Oryzias latipes: one gene and its partners. The protein of the gene in region 3 interacts with the protein of the main gene of each other region in a pairwise test. Links are inferred from orthologs where the notes say so. Each region holds a gene or a part of one and is shown on either strand. Other genes may lie near its edges.

Region 1 (6,170 bases), on a different chromosome or scaffold from region 3:
GCAAGACTGTGTAAATATTCAGACATATTTAGCCGCGCACCCTAATTTAAATCACTGGTTGTGTGTTTTAAATTTTCCTGTGATGTGTACTTTTTTTTGCATGTTCTGAATATATTGTTCCAGGGCCTTTATGGATGAAAACTCTGAAACTGCTGTGCCAAACTAACAACTGTTGTGCTTAAAATGTCATTGAAGCCGTGGGATACTGATAAAATCTTGTGTTGCTTGAAATGTTTGCAAAGTAAATTATCCTCGAATGCAACTCTTTTTGTCTGTACTGTTAATGTTTGGTTATCGAACTGACGAAGCAGGGTTTTTTTAATGTTTATTTACTAAGTATTCCACATGAAAGGAGAAACAAACAAGCCACTTTTGTAAAATATTTTTCCAAGATAACAGTTTCTTGTGTAACGCACTACCTGTAGCCTCAGCCGATGAAGAGTCATGCATCAAAACTAGCAGCTCGGTGTGTTTTTGTGTCTGCTGCGAACGCTGGAGTATCGTTTCTGTGCTTCTGATGCCAAATAATGTGCACTTTTATTGTGGAGAAACAATAGTTTTCCAAGTCCTTTTTAACATGCTCATTGTGACCCAGTGCATGCCGTGTTTCAGCGTCTGTCCTTGATCTCGAGATTTCTCCAGGTGTGTTCATGATTTATAGTGCTTTATTCAAAAAATAAAGAAATCCCAACATGTGCCGAGTAGGAGTCAAAAATCAAACTGCAGCAACAGCACCAAACCAGTGACCGGTAACATTTAGAGGAGAGCCAAAGCTGTGTGGACTTTGTGTTGCATAGAAATGCTAAGCTGGTCAGTCTTGTATTAAGGTTTGTGAGAGGAAAGTGCATGTGCGTGCGCAGCCCTCTAGCCCTTCAGGCAGACGTATAAATAAAGTCAGAGTGCAGCTGCAGCCTTGATGCATCCACTCCATTGCAGACAGACACAACTGACCTAAAAAAAAACAGAGAAAAAAAAAGAAAAAGATCTTACAACAAGATCCAGAAAACCTACGACACCGACCTACCTTCTCACATTTTCTCCCTGATAATAATTTGTTAGCATAACAGACCTGACGTGCAGATATACACAATTTCATGAATGAATGGCTCTCCCTGGTTACTGTTTATATCAAGAAGAAAGTCTGTGCTAATTCTTTTAAAAGAAAAAACTACCGTGATTAAAATAATATGTTCAAATGCACCTTTCCATCATATCTGCCTCAAATGCTCTCCGCTTCCCTTCAGCTCGGCAAGCAAAGACTGGTTGGTAGCCACCAGAGACCTGCAAAAAAGAAAGAAAAATGATCTTGCTGTGCAAAAACAGCGCTCTGCACGTCAGCCTGCAGGATCTCCGTACTTGTGGCTCTCTTGCAGCATATTTGAAAGGTCCTGGATCTTTTCAGCTTCATGCACTTTCCTCCTCAGTCCCTCGATGTCCTTCTTTAGCTCCTCCACTTCTGTCTGAGCCTCTAAAGATGAGCAAACACAAGCTAGTAGTTTCTAAAAAAGATCTCCACACAACGATTGCGTTTCCACCCACCTCTGATCTGAGTCATCGGTGAACTTCTTATCATTGATTTGAGGTACTGACGCTCTAACTTGATGAGCTGCTTCTGCAGTGTGACATTTTCCTCCAAGACGATCCTCAGCTGCTCGTTTAGTTTCCCCTGCGTCAAAAAGCGGCAGTATAGTATGCTGATCAGTGTCAACGCGCTCCAATGCAAAGTTTTTATCTATGATTAATGAACTTACCTCGGTTCTACGAGTTTCCTCCAGCTGAGCAGAGAGCTTCCTGACTTCAGTTTTGTGTTCTTCCTCCCGGGCAACAGCTTGAATTCTGAGTGTATCAACATCCTGCCTTAAGGTCCTGACCTCAGCCTCTCGACTGGAAATGTCGCTCTCCATCATAGAGAGGATTTGGACAGCTTGAGCTGGAGTTTAAAATAGAGAAAGTGAGAAGACATGCATCTTGACAGGATCTTGTAATTAGAAACCACATTTCCCAAAGCAAGCTCACACAGGAAGTTGTTGTTATGGTGCAGTGACCTCTCGCCCCTCCAGTGTTTGTCAACGAGGTTCAGAAGCATCTCCAGGGGCTTCCGGTAAGTACCCTGAGAATGGAATTCGCAGAGGCTGTAAGTTTTCTATAAAAAGATCCTTGCATAAATAAAGAAAGGTTTATGATTTAGAGTATAAATCAGTCGGAGAGCTGAACTGAATGTTAACCCTTTTTTTCCTTCCAGCTTGTTGTTTCAGGCTGCTGCTCCCGTCTGCCGTGTTGATGCTAGAGTAGGTGAGTCTTGCAGGGTGTAAGATGGGGTTAGAGGACTCAGACAGAGTCAAACCGGGTTGCAGTGGACTGGCAGGACGGATGTTGATCAATGAGGTGCTACGACACTGGCTTTGATCTGAAAAAGTCATGTACATTCAGAGTTCCAAGGAAGTGAGGAATGTGAACTTTGGCAAAATTCCACAATAAATAGCAGTTGTTAAATACACAATATAAATAAATATATATATATATATATATATATATATATATATATATATATATATATATATATATATATATATATATATATATATATATATATATATATATATATATATATATATATATATATATATATATATATATATATATATATATATATATATATAACCAGGGTTTGGAGTAAAATGGCCCTTAGCTTCGTGTCTGATTTGTTTAAAGGACAGCTTCTGGTTTGGAAGTCCTCTGTCTGCACTGTGTTTCTCTACAAAAGGACCGAAGGACACTTTAGGCCTTTCAGCTACTTTAGATGAGGTAGAGTTTTTCATTGGAGGTGTCTCCTTCATCTGTAGCCCTCTGGATACAACAACATCTGTAAATTCACAGAAAGGCACAAATATGTTTTCATCTTTTAGTGTCAGACATTTTTATGGAGTTGACATCTAGCTCTCCCTGGTGGACATTTATGTTTCTGCTTAAACAATTGAAAATATTATAGTTAGTCAACAATGAGGCAAACACCACCAAAAATCTCTTTTTATTGCCATGAACTGTTTCCTTAAATGTTAGGGAAAAATATGATGCATTATGAATTGGTTTACAAAATCTCTTATTCAGACCAACTTAAATACATTTTAGCTGCTTTAGCAACTGCTGCAATCCATCTGCTTACTAGTGCTCTGATATACACACAGATAATTAAATCATTAAATAAATACCCAAAAACACACTTACCATTGATATTGGGTGAATATCTGAGGATGGATTTAGTAGATTCCTACAAGCAAAGGGTGCCGTCATTCATGCAAGCATAGGGTGACTATTTTTTTTTAATCAGACATGGAGAAAAAGAAAGTCACCTGTTTTGGAGTTGAACTCTTCTTCTCTGTGAAATTTTGTAATATTTCCTCCTTGGGTTCTAGAATAAGGTTTCAACGTGAAGAAAGAACGTCAGCAGGTTTGGTGTGATTAAAAATTACCTTTAAGGGTCCTTACCTTCTCCTTTCCTGTAAACGGAGTCGCTGACTCTTTTAGATTGGTCTCCAAGGTCAGCCTCGACTCTGTTTAACACAATATCCTGACTTTCTGCTGAGAGTGACAGCCTCTTGGTCAAACGGTCGACCAAAGCCAGACGAAACCTGCTGCTTCTGACAGCAACAGGCACAGAACAGAGAAATAACTAATTAAAAGGTTGAAATATACATTAAAAACCACATATTTGATGCTTCCAGGCTTCAATAACAAGCTAGTTTAAGAAAGCAGGTTTGATGGAAATTAACGAATAGATTTATTACAAAAGGATGAAACAAGATGAAAAAAACCTTGAGATAAAAGTGTGTGTATTGCAGCTTTATAATATACCGCTGGATTTCCATCATCTGAGCTCCATACAGTTTCTGAATTTAGACCAGATTGGTGTTTAAAGCCTGCATTAAGAAGGTTTTGTGCATTAAACTGATTTTGTGCTCGGCGTACCTTTGATCTTCAGCCAGATTCAGAGAGCATCTCTTCTGCTGAGGAGGAAGATCAGAGGAGAACTGCATGATGGCAACTTTGCGTTCCGTCTCTCTGACCGAGCAGCTGTCTGCAAACCCAAAAGCTCATTACGATGTCGGGAACTTGACAGAAAACAGTCACAAAAACAGGCCCAGATGACTCCAGCTTACCAAGCTTTCGCAAGCTGGGCAAGGCGTGCACGATATAAGCCCAGTAGTGTGGGCAGTTTTTGGTGAGAGGGTTGAGCCTGAGGTCCAGCTCTCTTAAAACAGGAAGCTGGAACAGAGTTTTCACCTCTTCAAGAGATGGTATGCAGTTATGATAAAGAATCAACCTCTCCAGTTTTTTTAAATGCTGCAGCCCCTAAAGAAAGAACAGGAACCAGATTTGTAAGCATTCATCCAACAATGGAAATAATAGTCACATGAAATAAAATAAAAAAAATGACTGTGATTTGAAATCAGTTTAATATAAATTCTGAAGAGACTTTTTTTTATAGTATAAAGTATTTTCTTAATATAAGAAAAATTAAAAATATCAAACCTCCACAGAAACCAGGGCGTTGTAGGAAAGATCCAGAGACTTCAGGCGAATGAAGTTATTCAGAGCGTTCCCTAGATGTCCAATCTTCTCCTCTAACGTTCCTGGGAGGCTCAGTGACCGGACATCACCTGCGCATCAAACACACAACAATGAATGACCAAAAGATGACGGTTCATCATAAAATAGCTTTGAATAGCTAATCTGCTTTCAGTCAGACAGAAAAAATGTTTTACGCGGGGTTTTTGTTTTTCCAATGCACAGGTGAATGAAACTCTTACCGAGACACGGATGTTTTAGTTGTAATCTGTCGCGTATCCATTGCTCTGAGATTGTTGTTAGACACTCCGTCGCCATACTTTTCAAACTTTGCTGCCTTCAAGTGCTGTCGTGAAAAAACGACTTCAATGAAAGAAACAAAAATAACACAGTCAGTGTGCAACGGAGTAAAGTTTTAAATTTATGAGGAAAAAATTCAGTTAAATACTCTGTCGCATGAGTATGTCACACACTAACACAAAACCCTCTTTAAAATGGTAACTTTTTAGTAGTTAACAGCGACCTAAAAATAACGATTTACTCGTTTACTCGACAGAACCTAAAATGTTTTTTTTAAACAAAGAATTATATTTCCAATAAAACAAGAATAAATAACGTTTAACAAAAAGTGTTAACCGATCTTTGCTAGTTTGATCATTATTAATATGGTTGACAACGTCTCAGAATTTACAAGGGACTTTGAACGCCTCCTTTGGAGCATGCGCAGTGCTCTGAAGACATTCTGTCACGTGTGAACACAAACATTGTTCTGCTCCTCCTTGCCCCAAAGTTTAGTCTTTCTGTTCAGTCCAGTTATAAAAAGGGGCAGCGTCAGTAGTTTCATTTGAACTTTAAGTAAAAATATTGTCACTTTAGTTCCGGTGTGTTTGCAGGTTTGTGTTCCGGCGCGCTTTCCTGAATGGCGTCAACAGAGTGGATGGCATGTTGTAGTAACATCATTCTGTCCACCACAGCTTTATACTTTTCACGCAAACTCTTCAAGGTTCGTCTCTTATTTTATATTTAAAACTTGTAGAATGCTTTTTGATAAACAGAGTATACTTCAATAAAGATGAGGCTTTTTTTTATAATACACCAGCTACTAAAAAGTAATCTTTTATAAAATTGATTATGCTTGCCTTCGTCAACATCAGTGTGTTTATGTTTTCCCTTTAAGAGTATGGTCACAAATTCTCAATATATTAAACAGACTATAATCTCATGTTCTGCAGGATCACAGGGGCCCCTCAATAGGCCTCTTCCTGCTTGGTCTCTCTGCCACGCTTTGGGTCCTCCTGCCTTCAAGCTCACACCTGGCCTCTCTCAAAAAGCAAGCCACTTGGGCTGGGGAGGTGCTGGCACCAGTGCTGGTTGCTTTTGAATTCCTGTGGCTCAGCGAGGATCACGGCACCGCATGGACCCTCCTGATTGGCTCCTGTCTGCTACTGGGACTCTCAGACTGGCTGTCGGCTGAAACTCTAACTGTGTTGACTCGCTGCCTGGGTCTGTCGTCTCTGTCCTGCTGCCTGATGGTGTGTCTGTTTGCTGGTAATGTTTTGGGTGCTGTAGGAGGTGTAGCCCTCAGTTTGCCATTACTCATGGAG
Region 2 (6,191 bases), on a different chromosome or scaffold from region 3:
TTTGCTTACAAATATTTTTATTATTTAAACTACCATTTAATTTCCATCATAACACACAAAACATAACTTGAAACCCAGTCTTTCAAATGTGACATTTGAATTGAATATATATACTGTGGAAAGCTTTCAATTTAGGTTACACAAAAGTCAGTGAGTTAGAAAAAGCAGCGGAAACCTATTTACAGTTTATTCATCTTGAAAATCCCTAAACGTTGCTTTTTTTTGTTTTTCCCTTGTTTTTTTTCTTTTTAAATAGCTGAGGTCAACTCGAAAAATAAGTCCAACAGCATTTTAGAGGCTGCAATGTAAGAAATCCATTGAAGCATCAATGATGGAGGATGATGCAGACAGTTTAGTCCTCCAGGGTGTAGTTGGGGTTGACAACTAGAACAACTTCCTCCTCCTCTGTGCTCCCAGACTCTGAGCCCTTCAGTCCTGCCTGGGACAGCTCGATTAGGATATGGTCCTAAAAAAAACAGAAATTTGAAATAAATTGACCGGTTTGTTCTATAACGTTTAATTATCTAAAACACCAGGAGGGTTACTCACATAATGCACCAGCCTGTGGATCACCTTCTCTATCAGGCCCTTCTTATTGATGAGCTCCTCCTCTGAGTCGATCTCTGACTCAATCTCCTTCAGATACCAGTTCACCACAGCGTTTTTCTTCAGCTCCTCCTCTTCCTCAGCTGCAGCACAGATGACAACGTTAAAACAAACAAACAAACAAAAAAGGCAAATGCAATGGGGGGGACCGTGAAAATCCAGAAGCCGTACCCTCCTCCACTCTGCGCAGGTGAAGCACCAGCAGGTTGGAGATGCGCTTGTACTCGGAGAACGACAGGCGGAGGGACGGCTTGGACTGAGCGCTGTGCTCCGAGTGGCCGTTCACATCCTCCATGTGGCCATTGACGTGACCATTGACTCCATTTGGAACATTGTTGCCTAGAAACAGGAGCGCTCATGAAATACAAGGTAGTGCTGCCACCCCCCCCCCCCCCCCCCGTATTGATGGGGAGCGTGTCATCACCTTCCTCCTGTTGCTCCTCCTCCTCCACTTCGTCCTCCTGCTCCAGGTTGATATCAGGAGTCTCCACTCGGATGATAGACTTGTTGAGAAGGCGGAAAGCTTCCTTCACATGTTTGGGCTGCACCTGAAGTTGCAGAGAAAAAAATGTCAGACAGAAGGGCGACGCAGGAAACGTTCCAGGTGTTTCGTTTGAGTGAAGGCCGTACCTCATCGCAGCAGTGCATGCGCGCCATGGCTTCAGAAAGGCGAATCATGCTCTCCAGCTGCCGAACGGTTATCCTCCAGGCAGACTTGGAGACGCTTCCAGTGCTGTCTCGCTGGCGGAGGCGCTTGTACTGCTCCACAATGAACTCCTCAGACTCTTTGGAGATCTGGAAAAGGAGGGGACACACTCCAAAAATTAAGGAGTCACATTTTAGGGTTTAATACCATGAAAAATTAAATTGAAAAAAAGCACACACCTTTGGTTTAAACTGTCTGGCAAAAAGCAGGTATCTTCGAATCTCATCCAGAGAATAAAGCCTGTCCACGGACTCCTCCACGCGCGAGTGAAGGTCCACGATTCGTCTTGCGATTGCGTAATCTGTGACCTGACATCGGCGAGGACAGAGGTTATGGGAGGGGGGAAAAAGACACGACAAAACCCTTTCACACAAAATCACACCTCATTGCAGTCGTCCACCAGGATGAAGAAGAGGTCAAAGCGGCTCATGATGGGGGCGGTCAGGTTAACGTTCTGCTTCAGGCTCTTGCTGCGGTCGTAGCGGCCGCCGACGGGGTTGGCTGCAGCTAGGATGGACGTGCGGGCGTTCAGGGTCGCCTGAAACCGCAAAATCCACCTATTTACTCCCCTCACCAGCCTCGCTCTCCCCTTTTTATCTCAAGGCTTTGCAGCATTACCTTCACTCCGGCTTTGGTGATGCTGATGGTCTGCTGCTCCATGGCCTCGTGGATGGCCACCTGGTCTTTGATGTCCATCTTATCAAACTCGTCGATGCAGCACACCCCCTAAAAGCAGACATATGGACGTTTTTTTTTAAATAAGCCTTCCCAGTGGTCTTTTAATACAGATTCCAACTTAGACGAGGAAAGCAAAAACGTAACATGGATCCATGCAAGTAGATGCATCAGAATGGAGGAAACCTATCATCAACGCAATCTTTTCCAAACTGCATTTATTTCGTCTGCTCAAAACAATTTTATTTAAAAAAATACTCAGAAATGCAATTCTAGGCTTAATTTTCTTTCCATCATCAGAAAAATACAAACACAAAGTACATCAGAGTGTGTCTTTAACCCGGATGCCTTACGTTATCCGCGAGCATCAGAGCTCCCGCCTCAATGACGAACTCGTGCGACTCTTCGTCCCGGACGACAGCCGCCGTCAGACCTGCGGCGGTGCTGGCTTTCCCGCTGGTGTACACCGCTCTGGGAGAGAACTCCTCCACGTGCCTGAACACAAACGACCCCGTTACTTCCTGAAGTAGTTCACCTTTAAGCGGTTCAGCGGCGTGTTCCTGCCGGGCGCGTCACGCACTTCAGGAACTGGCTTTTTGCGGTACTCGGGTCTCCGACGATGCAGACGTTGACGTCTCCTCTCAGAGAGGTCCCCTCCATCGTCGTCTTGGGAACGCCACCGAACAGCATCAGCAGGATACCGCGCTTCACCTCGTCATTTCCTACAAGATCAGGCAGCAGATGTGACTTTTGTTTTTTAAAAACAAAGGAGAAGCGGTAGAACAGAGGAGGTAGAACCAACCATGGATGGTGGGGAAGAGGCTGGTGCACAGGTTGTGGTACAGATTCTTGTCCTGACTCATTTCAAACACTTTCTCCCATTCTTTTTCTGTCATCTGACTCTTGATGCTCTCAGCTGTCTGTTCTTCATCACGAAGCTCCTTCCCACCGAACTACACACAATTATTCACAGTTATACGACTGTTGGAGCCTGAAATGTGTGTGTGTGTGTGTGTGTTTGGGGCGGAGTTCTTACTCTTGGGTTGGTCGGTGCGACGTTGCAGGCTAGAAAAGCCAGTCGGTACGACAACTCCCTGACTCCCAGAGCTTTCAGTCCCCTCAAACCCTCCGCCTCGTAGCCCTGGCGCCCCCCGCCCACACGGGAACTGGTTTCAGCTCGCAAACCTGACAACAAGACATTCAAAACACCCAACCGTGAAGGGTCAAAGTTCAAAATGCAAAAGTAAAAAGGTACAGTTCACCCACAGTGAAGTCTTACCAGGAGTGCTGAGCTGAGAGACGTCCGGCACGACGATGAGTGTCCCGGTGAAGTCGCAGCGATCTCCGGCCTGGGCCGTCTCCACAGCCTCTGCCCTCAGGACGACCTCCAGCGACCGCGGGATTGAACCCCGGGGCAGCTCTGCTTGCGTCTCCTGGATACGCACCTGAGCACACAAGTATCACCCTAAATCAGACACAGAACAGCGACCAGCTGCACGACCGCTCCATCACACACTACCTTCTGAAAATCAATGAACTTGGACTTGTGCGTGTCGAGGTGGAAGCGGGAGCGATTGCTGCAGACGGGGTTTCTGCAGATGGTGGGGGGCGAGTACTTGAACTGCTGCGGGACGTCTTTGATCACCATCTGGCAGTCCATGCACACGAAGGTGCCGCTCACCTGCAGCCGCAAGGCATCCATCATCGACAAGTCCACATTTCTGTGATGAAATGTGGTCGTTTAGGGGGAATCTTACCAGCTCAGGGTGGACTGGGTGGGTCCTCACCACCTGACAGCTGATCTTCACCAGGGTACCGATCCGCATGGAGGACAGCTCACGGATCCTGTAAAGGACACAGAAAAGACCGTCGATTTGACCGTCTTGATTGACATTTATGAACAGTGATAGTTCCTGCATCGCTCTTACTTGTGTCTTGTAGGCAGATCCTCGATGGCTACGTAAAACTCTTTGGTGAGCGGCACGTTCCCGTGATCTCGAGCAAAGTTGCGCACTGCTCTGCACAGGTACGGATACACCCTGAAAATGCAGAAGTCCGACTTTAACACAAGCGGCCCCCTTCCAACCAAAAGCTGTTCTGTTCCTTCATGAAGTAACAGATCAATAATGTGCAAATACAAAATACAATTTACGCACAACTTGAAATGACAGCAGCTAAAAACGAACTATGCTTTGCACCAGGGGTTGTGAGACGTCACGTCTTCAGATCAGTGGGTAGATGATGCATTTAAATGCTGCTAGAATGCTGGGTCATCAGAGTTTTAAACTTACTTTGTGAATAATATCTAGTAAATACTTGACATTGTCAGCTGTCATTACAAGTTGTGCGTAAATTGTATTTGTGCGTTTTTAAATTCTTTACATTTGTGCATGTGAATACACAAAATGACCTTCAAATCAAGAATTACACACACAGCACATACACACACACACACACAACTCCAGTGGGTGTATTTGCTCTCCATACTCGCCTGTAGTACTCCTCCTGGATGGTGGTGGCCAGCTCTTGGTTGAAGCCCTCCAGGTCTGTGAAGCTCACCACCAGAGTGTTCCTCTCAGGCCTGATCAGCTCTTCCCCCTCCCGGAGATACTTCACCTCCCCATCGGCGGTCTGGAATCTGCACAGAAGCAAAACTAACCTTAGACTCACTTTATAACCAAGAAAATCTAAATAAAAAGAGGTGTTTAAGCAGGCGATCAACTCGTGATTGACTTGTCAAGGCCGACAACAAAGACTCTTCCTGCTGGATGGATACTCTGATACTCACTCCTCTAAGAAAGCCTGGAATAACTTCTGACATTTCTCCGCCAGCTCGTCCTTCACCGTCGTCCCGGCATGCTCCGCGGTCGCTGTAGCAACGTCCATCCTGCGCTGTAGCAAAACTGCCTCAGAGATTCAAAGGAACACTCCGCGTGTGGAAGGAAGGAGGACACGGTGGCGAGCACAGATCTTCAGTCCCAACAACAGAAGGCGGTTTCGCGCGAAAAGTGAGGCCACGTGACGTTTGGCGCGGTTTTTTCGTCCTATCGGCGCCACGGTGCGGAGTCACTCGCAATATCAGCCAATTAAAAGCGAAACATTGAAGTGACGTAGAAATAGGGGCGTTTCTTTGACTGTCCCTGCGGGATTTTTTTTCTTCCCAGAGAACTTTATTTAAAACGAGAAAATAATACAAAAACAAAATTAATAAATACATAAATAAATACAATAATTTTGTATACAATAAATCTATAATATTTACTTTTGGCGAAAATAACATTTTAAAATATTGTATTGGGGCCGGTTTAGCTCGTGCTGGTTTGCAGCGCCTTCCGTCCGTGAAACCAGGGTTCAAATCCGGGCTGCTCCCTGTTCCCTTCTCTGCTGCTGTGCCGGTCCCAAGCCCGGTTGGATTGAGAGGGTTGTGTCAGGAAGGGCATCCGGCGTAAAATCATTGCCAAATTAACCATGGGACTCATCTTCGAAGGAGGGTTGTTGTGCTGTGATGACCCCTGATGGGAGAAGCCAAAAGTCAACGTATCAATGCATTTAATGTAAGAAGTAAATTGAAATTTGACCATATTACTTTAAATTATTAATTGACTTGTCAAAACAGATAAAGTTAAGACTGTTTATTGAATAGATAAAGTAGATCATTTTCTACAAAGATGAATAAGTCATTCATGAAAGAGAAGGCTATACCGACATGTGTAATTCCCCCAAATGAATCGTTTTAGTAAGAAAGTGGCTCTCTAGAGATCTATCTTTGGGAGGTAGGATTTTACTCAGCAAAGCAGAAGGTATTTCCCGCTTAACATATGCAGCTTTGGCTTTACACGTTGATGATAAAATTATCAAAGAAATTGGCAAAATGCTTTTTAATTTCATCTGGAAAAACAGAACCCATTACTTAAAAAAATGTTCTCATGAACTCCTTTGACAAAGGTGGCCTCAATTTTCTCGATTTTTATACCTTGAATAACACATTTAAATTTATTGGCTAAAACAACTTTTTAGAAATCCCAGCTCCATTTGGAACACTATACCTCTTCATATTTTATCTAAAATTGGTGCCGCTGATTTCTTTCTCATGTGTAATTATGATTTATGTAAAATCCCACTTAAGTTATCTGCATTTTATCGCCAAGCTCTCCTTTCATGGTCCCTTGTATACAAACACAACTTTTCACCTCACAAATATTCT
Region 3 (7,852 bases):
CTGGTTAGGTTGGGATTCTGGTTAGGTTAGGAAGCTGATTAGGTAGAAATCTGATTAAGGTAGGAACCTGGTTAGGTTAGGAACCTGGTTAGGTTAGATATCTGGTTAGGTTAGATATCTGGTTAGGTTGGGATTCTGGTTAGGTTAGGAAGCTGATTAGGTAGAAATCTGATTAAGGTAGGAACCTGGTTAGGTTAGGAAGCTGGTTAGGTTAGATATCTGGTTAGGTTAGGAAGCTGCTCAAAACCCAATTTCTAACTGCATCCATGGCAGACACAGAGGTAGAGGCTAAGAAAGGTTAAGAGCATCTTCACATCTGATGACATCAACCACAGAGTTACTAAATAAAACAAACTAAGTCACTCCCTCCTTGAGTCTGTGGTAAACCACAAACAGACCAAGCAGCTCCTACCTATCTGCTTGGCGCGCCTAACGAGCTGAGCTGAGCCACTCACAAACAGCTGCTCCAGAGTCTTCTGCTGGGGTTTGCTCGGTTTGGAAGCAGTTCTGGAAAAGATGAAAATGAGGACGGCCTTTCAGAAAACAGACGTGTCATGATTCATGTGCTGCTGAGCCAAATGTTTACAATAAACTTTGTTGTGTTTCAGGACAGTACTTCACTGTTTGTAACATAAAAGCTAATTCTAAAGCACAAATCTGAACCAACAAAGGTTTAACCAATGAACAGCCTTGAAGCGTCCTGACAGATCTCTCTGATCACTCCTCCAGGACAAAGCTGCACTCACAGCGTGGCGGCGCAGGCAGAAGACGACACGCCGCCGTAGTAGAAGCCATCTTGACACAGGCGCTGTCTGAGGCCGCCCCCCTTCCCCTTCAGGGTGTTTGGGCCTTTTCCAGAGAACGATGACTGCAGCTCCGCCCTCTTTGAGCTCATCTTCTTATACTGGGCCTTGACATGGTACTGGCAGTACTGGCATTCGTACTGCAGAGAGGAGCGGATCGTGAAGGGAGGTGAAGGAGGAGGAGGAGGTGAAGAAACGCGGTTTCACTTAGGACTCACCAAGTTGACGATTTGAGAACAGGGATCTCCGTTCTTCTTCGAGGCTTTGCAGGTGCCGTAGTCCTGAGCTTCGCCCAAAACGAGCACCTTCTGTGGGTGATCCACCGTCAGACTCACCTAAAAAAATAATTTTAAAAATCCATTTCTGAATAAGCAAAATGAACCCGAATGCTGACATTCTGCTGATTCTTCAGCAGACATTATTTGAAGCTTTCTGGGATCGTCTCAAGATTCCCGATTGCACTTAAGGTACTAGGTTATTAAAAACAAAGGGGGAAACATTTGATTTCTTTAAAGACTTAAACCCCTCAACCTTTAGCTAAACCAGTGCTTCTCAAATAGTGGGGCATGTGATGCCGGGGGGCAAATTTATCGGGGGCCGGTGGGGCTCAGTGCTAGGAAAAAAAACTGTAGCCCACTATTGGTTTCCTATGATGTGTTGAATGACAGAGTTTGTATCAGCCTGAAACTGTGAATGGGCGTCTCTGGCGCACGGAGCACAGCCTGGATCATGGTTCCTTTAGATTCCTCAGCTCATGCTAGTAATGTCATTCTTTATTAAGAATTGTAGACATTTTGATGACGTATCTTTATTTTCCATCAATGTATTCTTTGTCTGCCTGTGGTTTAGTTGGTGTCAGTATTTGACATACAGACAGCAGGTAATGCAGGGAAACAGCTGCACTTTAGGAGATCAGAAATAAACAATCCATCATTTAGAAAAAAAATCATTAAAAAAACCATGCCTCTGGTTCGGCCTTTGTGACAAATGTTAGAACCCTTTGTGGCCCCAGGGTCCAAACGTTTGCCCACCCCTGATGTAAAGTGTTCTGAAAGGGATTTTGATCCAATACTCTGCACTACTGTTGTAAAAAAATGGTTTTGAGGATTTTGAGGTAAACATCATCAAGGAGGGAAAAAATACAACTTTCAAATAAATTCCCAAAGTTCAATCAGGAAAAGTTTTCATGATCCTGAAACGGAACCGGAAGGATCAACCAGCAGACGTCCTGTTCTCAATCATTTAATGTTTTCATTAAATACTTGTCTTTTTGACCAAATGATTGTTTTTCAAACAACAAACAAGTTGAGTTTTCTAAGAAGAATTCGATTTGATCAAATATTCCGGTCATGTTTAAGTTTTTCTGTCTGCGGTAAGAATGAGGACGTGCTTCCATGGCCGCCGTCCGTCTGCTCACCCCCTTGTATCCGTCGTTCTGCTTCATGGGGTTCGGGTTCAGGAGCCCGATCGCCGTTCCCGGTTCCATCTTCCAGTGCTCCTTGTGGACTTCTCCGAACAGGAGGAGGGAAACGAACACGTCCAGGCCGTGGAGGTCGTTGAGTTTCCAGATGCTGAACGTTTTTCCCTGTGAGGAACGGAACACCGATCATCCTGCAGTTTGTCCTGACATGGCCGTGTTTTAAGAAAGCAATCAGAAGAAAAAAAATCTCCAGCAGCAAATATGGACGTTTTTTTCCCACAATTCAAAGTAATAAGCAATTCTCAATGGATAATGTAATTTGCGATTTGATGATGCACTTTAAAAAAATGCATTTTGCAATGCAAATTACAATTTCATCTTACATTTTTAAAATTGCAATATTAAATGAAAACAAACTGTTTTTTTTAAACCATAACTCAAATGTAAACTGCAGTTCAATGTACAAGTCAGCCCTGCTTGTTCTTAAATACAATATTTAAAAAAAAGAATTCATTATTTCCTTTAAATTAATTCTAAAGTAACTTAAACTCCACCAGGGGTTTGAAGTTTCCTTTACTGTTGGAAAACTTTTTCCAGCCCAAAATACAACGAGACTGCAACTAGATTGCAAACTTAAAGGCTCCCAATCGGGATGGGAGGGGGGGGGGGGGGGGGGGGAGTCCTGCCTCCACTGCCTTTTGGTCAACCAATTAAAAATATCGAAGATGCTCAACCAGCCAATAGAATCGTTTGACATGGGAGGTTAAGGAAGAGAATCCGCCTTGAGCTCCCCTGTTTGTGACCACGGCTCATAGAAGTTGGTTTTGGAGCTCGTCTTTGGGGCGTCTGTGTCCTCCCCCCATACGTATGTTTGTGGTTATGTTGTATAAATATGTCCTCTCTGGCCATCTTTTCGCGTTTTGTAAAAGCGTTTTTGGCCAAAATAAAAACCCCTGTGTTGTTTTCTAGGACATAGTTTCTGTAGGGCGGTGGGAGTTCATTAGAAATCGTGATCCGCTGCAATTTGAATAAAGAAACACTCAAAAAAATAAATTTTAAGATTCTACTCTTCATATGTGTCCTTCATCATTAAGGGAAATGCCACAAAAAAACATATTTCTTGGAGGGGGTTTATAAGTTCTTTTTGAAGAAATTTGAAGAGTTTATTTTAGTTTGCAGCAGATTTTCTAGTGTAGATTTAATTGTCGTGTTTTGATGATTTCAAACTGATCTTTTAAACAAAAATCAGAAGACTATTTTTTTTTTAAATAATATTTGTGGCTCTGGACGGATGAGCAGGATGAGCAGGATGAGCAGCAGGAGCGGCGCTGCTTGCTTACGCTGCGACTGCTTTGTGGCGTTGCCTTGTCGACCAGCACGCCAAACGTCACCCAGTCGCTGTCCTCCAGCTTCTCCCGCGTCAGACGCTCCGGCACCTGTGACAGACGGATCAGCCGCCGACTGGCCATCTTCTGGTCCATCTCGACGGAGGAAACCCGCGGTTTTCTGATTCAGACGGAAAGCAAACGCATGAAGCAAAAAGACAGCAGAGTGAGCGTTCGTCACTGGCAGTTTCATTACACCTGAGTCTGAGTCCTGAGTATTTCTCAACGGCCACGTCTTTGGGGGGAGGGGGAGGAGGAAGAGGGGCCGGCTTAGGCCTTCCTGCCGATGCCGCTGGCGTGCTGGGACGGGCGGGAGGGGAGCGAACGGGAGCTGCAGCTTTGCTCTCCAGAGGCTGGAAGGAGCTGCCGATCTTTATCTCCACCAACGGGCCTCTGTCCTCTGACGAGAAAACCACGGACAAAAATGTATTCACACAAAAACAAAGCAAATCTAAGAAGAAAAAAACATCTTTAATCGGATCAAAGATCAGATTAGAATTGAACTGTGTTCATGGGCCCCAAGAACTTTATACGATTATAACAAACGTTTACAAACGGTCAGAACAAATCATGTGGACATGCGCAGAACTCTCTAAAATAACAGAAACGACTGCAAAGGAAGAAATATCGAGTTCTGTTGTAAACAAACAAGCTGCAGCATAGAACAGATGATCTTCTGAACCTGATTTTGTTATGGTTATGGTTAGTATTAAGTGCTTGATGCTTGTTTTTTTTGGCCGCACAGAGCCGGGTTAGGATTAAGCTAATATGTGCCAACAACAACATTTATCCGTGGAGGCAGTTCAAATCCATGCAGTCATGCTGGCGTCTGCATCTTGGCTGCACGTTAGTCTGTGGGAATAACATCAGCCTTAATTTTGTCTGGACATGAGTGGAAACACAAATCCACGTGATTGTTTACACGGTTTCTCAGGACTGTGCTGCATTTGTTGGGGCGGTCTGAGCTCTGCTCGGAGACACAGTTCTCCCATGAGACACTGCAGTTCACTCGCCCAGAGAGGCGGGGCGGACACCCTAACAAAGCACCCCCACTGCCCGTAAACACAAAGCTATGAGTCCGGCTGCTCTGCTCAGAGACGCACTTCGCTCGCGTGGAGCAGCTGGCCGGTCTTGTTTGCGTCCCAAAGCCTCCTCTGGAGCGCCGCACCGTCTTTGCATGACCTAACCCCACGATCGGATCAACAATCGGCATAACCCATCCATCTTTATCGGAAAGACATTTTGATCCGGATGAGTCTGACCGGGGCCGAGTATTCCGAACGGCGCATTTTTATTCCCATCAGGCGTTCTTTCCGATTACTTTTGTCCACGTAACCCCAGCTAGAAATGTTGGAAATGTTTTGTATTTTTACCGGAATACGAAGCAGCTTTAGCAGCGTGAGCCACTCTCTGTTTGCGTTTGAATGAGTCTGCATTGTTCAGCTGAGAGGAGAAGTCTGAGGACTCCTGCAGTTTGGAGCTTCCGGATGTCGCTGCGCCGGATGTCGACGGCGCTGCAGATAAAAATCGAGAAAGACAAACGTTAAGGAAGCGCGTGTGTAAAACAGCAAAGGCCGGTTAGCAGCCTGGCTTTACCTGCTTGTGATTTGCTTTTTTGTGATCGTTTGGACGGCAGAGGTGCGGCCGGTGGTTTCAAACCCCCAAGTGCTTTAGTGGACGATGAGGCCACATCCTTCTGCTTTGCATCCAGCTGCTCCTGCAGTTTCTTCATCTTCTCCTGCATGAGCCGAAGGACCTCTGGAGAAGCAAAGCGCTGGATGAATTACAGAACCTCGAAACGTGAGTCAGATCTGAAAGCGTTCCAGCACAAACCCTGCAATTCCTCCTTGGACACGTCCGGGTTCTCTCCTCCACGCTCCGCTTTCCCTTCTGCATCCTTCTCCTCATTCTGGATGTCGTCCACATCTCCAAAAAGTTCTGTCACCACATCCTCTGTGGCCAAGATGTCCCCCTCAATGCCGTCTTTGTACTCCTCCTCTTCATCGTCTTCATCAAAGAGGCCTTCCAGGTCGTCGTTTTCCTGCCCTTGTTCTTTACTCGCGCCGCTGTCCTCATCTTCGTCACAGAGGTCTTCCAGGTTGTTGTCTTGTTGCTCTTCACTCGCGCCTCCGTCCTCATTGTCGTGTTCGTCACAGAGGCCTTCCACGCCATCCCCCTGCTCTTGCTCTTCACTCTCGCCCCCGTCCTCATCAATCAGAGCCGTCAAAATCTCCAGATCGTCCTCGCCTGTAAAAACGACATCTTCTTTGTTTCAACCGACCAAAGTTATTTCAAATTCAAAAAATGTCACAACACTTACTGTCCATGTTGGAGGTGATGGATGCGTCACCGGCAGGTTAGTGGCTTACCTGGAAAAATAAAATGCATCAATGTCTCGTTCTGCGACAACAGCAGTACTTTAAGAGTATATTTTTAAAAAGTCCAAATAAACTGAGAAGGAGACTAAGAAAAAGGCTTTTTAAGGGAGGACCGATATTTACTGATCCAAGATTTTGCAGCAGATTGGGAAAGTTTGTCGTTCTAATCTCTGCTCTCGCCCTTTTAGACATTATGGCGATAAAAACAGATCAAATGCAGATTACGTTCTTTTTAAAAACGTAATTTCATACAGAGATGGCCAGAAGAAAAAGAGTACTTTATAAAAAAGCAATAAACTTCCCAAAATGTTGAAAATCTGTAAAATCAAATAAATAATAAAAAACTATAAATGAATGTCTAAAGGCCCGTACACACCGGGACGAATATTCGCCAGGCGTTATTCGCCACGTCTTTTGTGTTCACACCCAGGCGATTTTCGCTGACGATGAGTGGAGGGAACATGCAATTTCATTCCCTGACATTAGATGGCGCTTAATGTAAACAGAAATACTCCTGTACACAAGGTGGCGCTGCGCAACTTTACGCTTCTTAAAGTCGCTTTTCACTCAGAAGAAGAGAGCAAGTATTTACGCGCTTGTCAGAATCATACAAAGAAAACATGAATATTTCAAGCACCAGTAGCTCCAACTGGTACTTGGTTCGGGGATATTTTAGAATGTCCGTCATTATTGCTTCGCGGCTGTGTAGACGCTACTTGGCGTCTATCTTCTTCGCTGGTATGTGTGCTCAGCAAGGCAGTTTTGTGTTTGAGCGCCCCCAAGTTGTGTTTTACTGTAACTTCAGAAGCTCCAGACACGTGTGAAAAAGCGCCGTTCTCATTGGTCGAATAGATTTCGACGCGTCGGAAAAAAAAAACGAACCCGAGGCGTTTTTTTTTGACGCTTTGGCGCGTGGCGTTTTTTCGCGTCGGTGTGCACACTCACATTGGTGCCCTTTGTTTAGTCACGAGGCGTTAAACGTCGGCGAAAATCGCCGGCGAAATTCGTCCCGGTGTGAACAGGCCTAATAACTGCTTTTTCACAGCTAAATTAGTATATTAATATCTCTCAAGTGGAAATTGAAACTGAGTTCCAGTAAAAACAAAAAAAAGGACATTGTACAGACCGTTGAGACGTGGTTCCAAGTCCTAAAATGTCTCACCCAAGTTTGTTTTGGTCAAGGTAAAAGCACAATCCAAGAGGTCAAATGAGGTCATTTTATGGGCGGCAGTGGCTCAGGTGGTAGAGCAGGTCGTCCAATGACCAACGGGTCGGCGGTTCGATCACCGCTCCACCCAGCCAGCTGTCATAGTGTTCTTGGACGAGACACTTCACCCTCCCTGCCTGGTGTGTGGATGTGCATGAATGTCCCAGTGATGGTCAGAGGGGCCGTAGGCGCAAACTGGCAGCCTCGCCTCTTTCAGTCTGCCAAGGGTTGCCAAGCTGTGGCTACAACCGTAGCTACCATCACCAAGTATGAATGAGGAACGAATGAATAATGGACACACTGCAAGCGCTTTGAGCAACAAGAAAAAGCGCAAATAAATCGAATCCATTATTAGTTGAGGATCCTTACGCCTTCCTACTGAGATCTGAGTCCCTCTGTCATCTCCTGTTGCATGCATGTAACTTACATGCATGTAGCTTACATGCATGTAAGTTACATGCATGTAAGATACATGCATGTAAGCTACATGCATGTAGCTTACATGCATGTAACTTACATGCATGCATGCAAGTTTGCCCTTATTGTAAAGGCAAACCCACACTAGTTATTGGGTTACATGCCACCAGAAGCCAACTTTTGATCACTCCAATTGATCCCATGAGGCTGCCTTCCACCTGCTGCGACCATGACAGATGAGT

Evidence for each region. The genes of interacting proteins can lie anywhere in the genome.
Region 1: the proteins of mcm10 (region 3) and cep72 interact in a two-hybrid assay, tested with the Homo sapiens proteins (2 studies listed by BioGRID and IntAct). The two-hybrid records come from large-scale screens. The link is inferred for Oryzias latipes from reciprocal best matches to the Homo sapiens genes MCM10 and CEP72.
Region 2: the proteins of mcm10 (region 3) and mcm6 interact in binary tests that used the Homo sapiens proteins (3 or more experiments, as listed by UniProt). The two-hybrid records come from large-scale screens. The link is inferred for Oryzias latipes from reciprocal best matches to the Homo sapiens genes MCM10 and MCM6.

Annotation. Positions count from the first base shown.
Region 1 is NC_019874.2:16,682,523-16,688,692, forward strand, and holds cep72 (centrosomal protein of 72 kDa), read right to left. Parts: upstream 4,977-6,170; 5' UTR 4,885-4,976; coding exon 4,809-4,884; intron 4,659-4,808; coding exon 4,531-4,658; intron 4,351-4,530; coding exon 4,158-4,350; intron 4,076-4,157; coding exon 3,967-4,075; intron 3,639-3,966; coding exon 3,487-3,638; intron 3,410-3,486; coding exon 3,351-3,409; intron 3,269-3,350; coding exon 3,226-3,268; intron 2,864-3,225; coding exon 2,663-2,863; intron 2,408-2,662; coding exon 2,226-2,407; intron 2,111-2,225; coding exon 2,017-2,110; intron 1,931-2,016; coding exon 1,752-1,930; intron 1,667-1,751; coding exon 1,540-1,666; intron 1,469-1,539; coding exon 1,357-1,468; intron 1,282-1,356; coding exon 1,209-1,281; 3' UTR 1,202-1,208; intron 952-1,201; 3' UTR 313-951; downstream 1-312. Other genes in the region: uncharacterized protein LOC101162471, read left to right, coding at 5,486-5,569, 5,799-6,170. UniProt on the Homo sapiens protein: Involved in the recruitment of key centrosomal proteins to the centrosome.
Region 2 is NC_019875.2:17,213,075-17,219,265, forward strand, and holds mcm6 (DNA replication licensing factor MCM6), read right to left. Parts: upstream 4,977-6,191; 5' UTR 4,874-4,976; coding exon 4,776-4,873; intron 4,626-4,775; coding exon 4,479-4,625; intron 4,027-4,478; coding exon 3,916-4,026; intron 3,833-3,915; coding exon 3,745-3,832; intron 3,669-3,744; coding exon 3,507-3,668; intron 3,433-3,506; coding exon 3,267-3,432; intron 3,173-3,266; coding exon 3,024-3,172; intron 2,941-3,023; coding exon 2,790-2,940; intron 2,710-2,789; coding exon 2,568-2,709; intron 2,483-2,567; coding exon 2,341-2,482; intron 2,039-2,340; coding exon 1,931-2,038; intron 1,851-1,930; coding exon 1,695-1,850; intron 1,621-1,694; coding exon 1,492-1,620; intron 1,402-1,491; coding exon 1,237-1,401; intron 1,155-1,236; coding exon 1,031-1,154; intron 946-1,030; coding exon 778-945; intron 690-777; coding exon 550-689; intron 467-549; coding exon 353-466; 3' UTR 1-352. UniProt on the Homo sapiens protein: Acts as a component of the MCM2-7 complex (MCM complex) which is the replicative helicase essential for 'once per cell cycle' DNA replication initiation and elongation in eukaryotic cells.
Region 3 is NC_019881.2:2,770,142-2,777,993, forward strand, and holds part of mcm10 (protein MCM10 homolog), read right to left. Parts: intron 5,978-7,852; 5' UTR 5,936-5,977; coding exon 5,929-5,935; intron 5,856-5,928; coding exon 5,442-5,855; intron 5,367-5,441; coding exon 5,205-5,366; intron 5,123-5,204; coding exon 4,982-5,122; intron 4,009-4,981; coding exon 3,807-4,008; intron 3,730-3,806; coding exon 3,564-3,729; intron 2,389-3,563; coding exon 2,221-2,388; intron 1,139-2,220; coding exon 1,022-1,138; intron 944-1,021; coding exon 747-943; intron 508-746; coding exon 413-507; intron 1-412. UniProt on the Homo sapiens protein: Acts as a replication initiation factor that brings together the MCM2-7 helicase and the DNA polymerase alpha/primase complex in order to initiate DNA replication. Additionally, plays a role in preventing DNA damage during replication.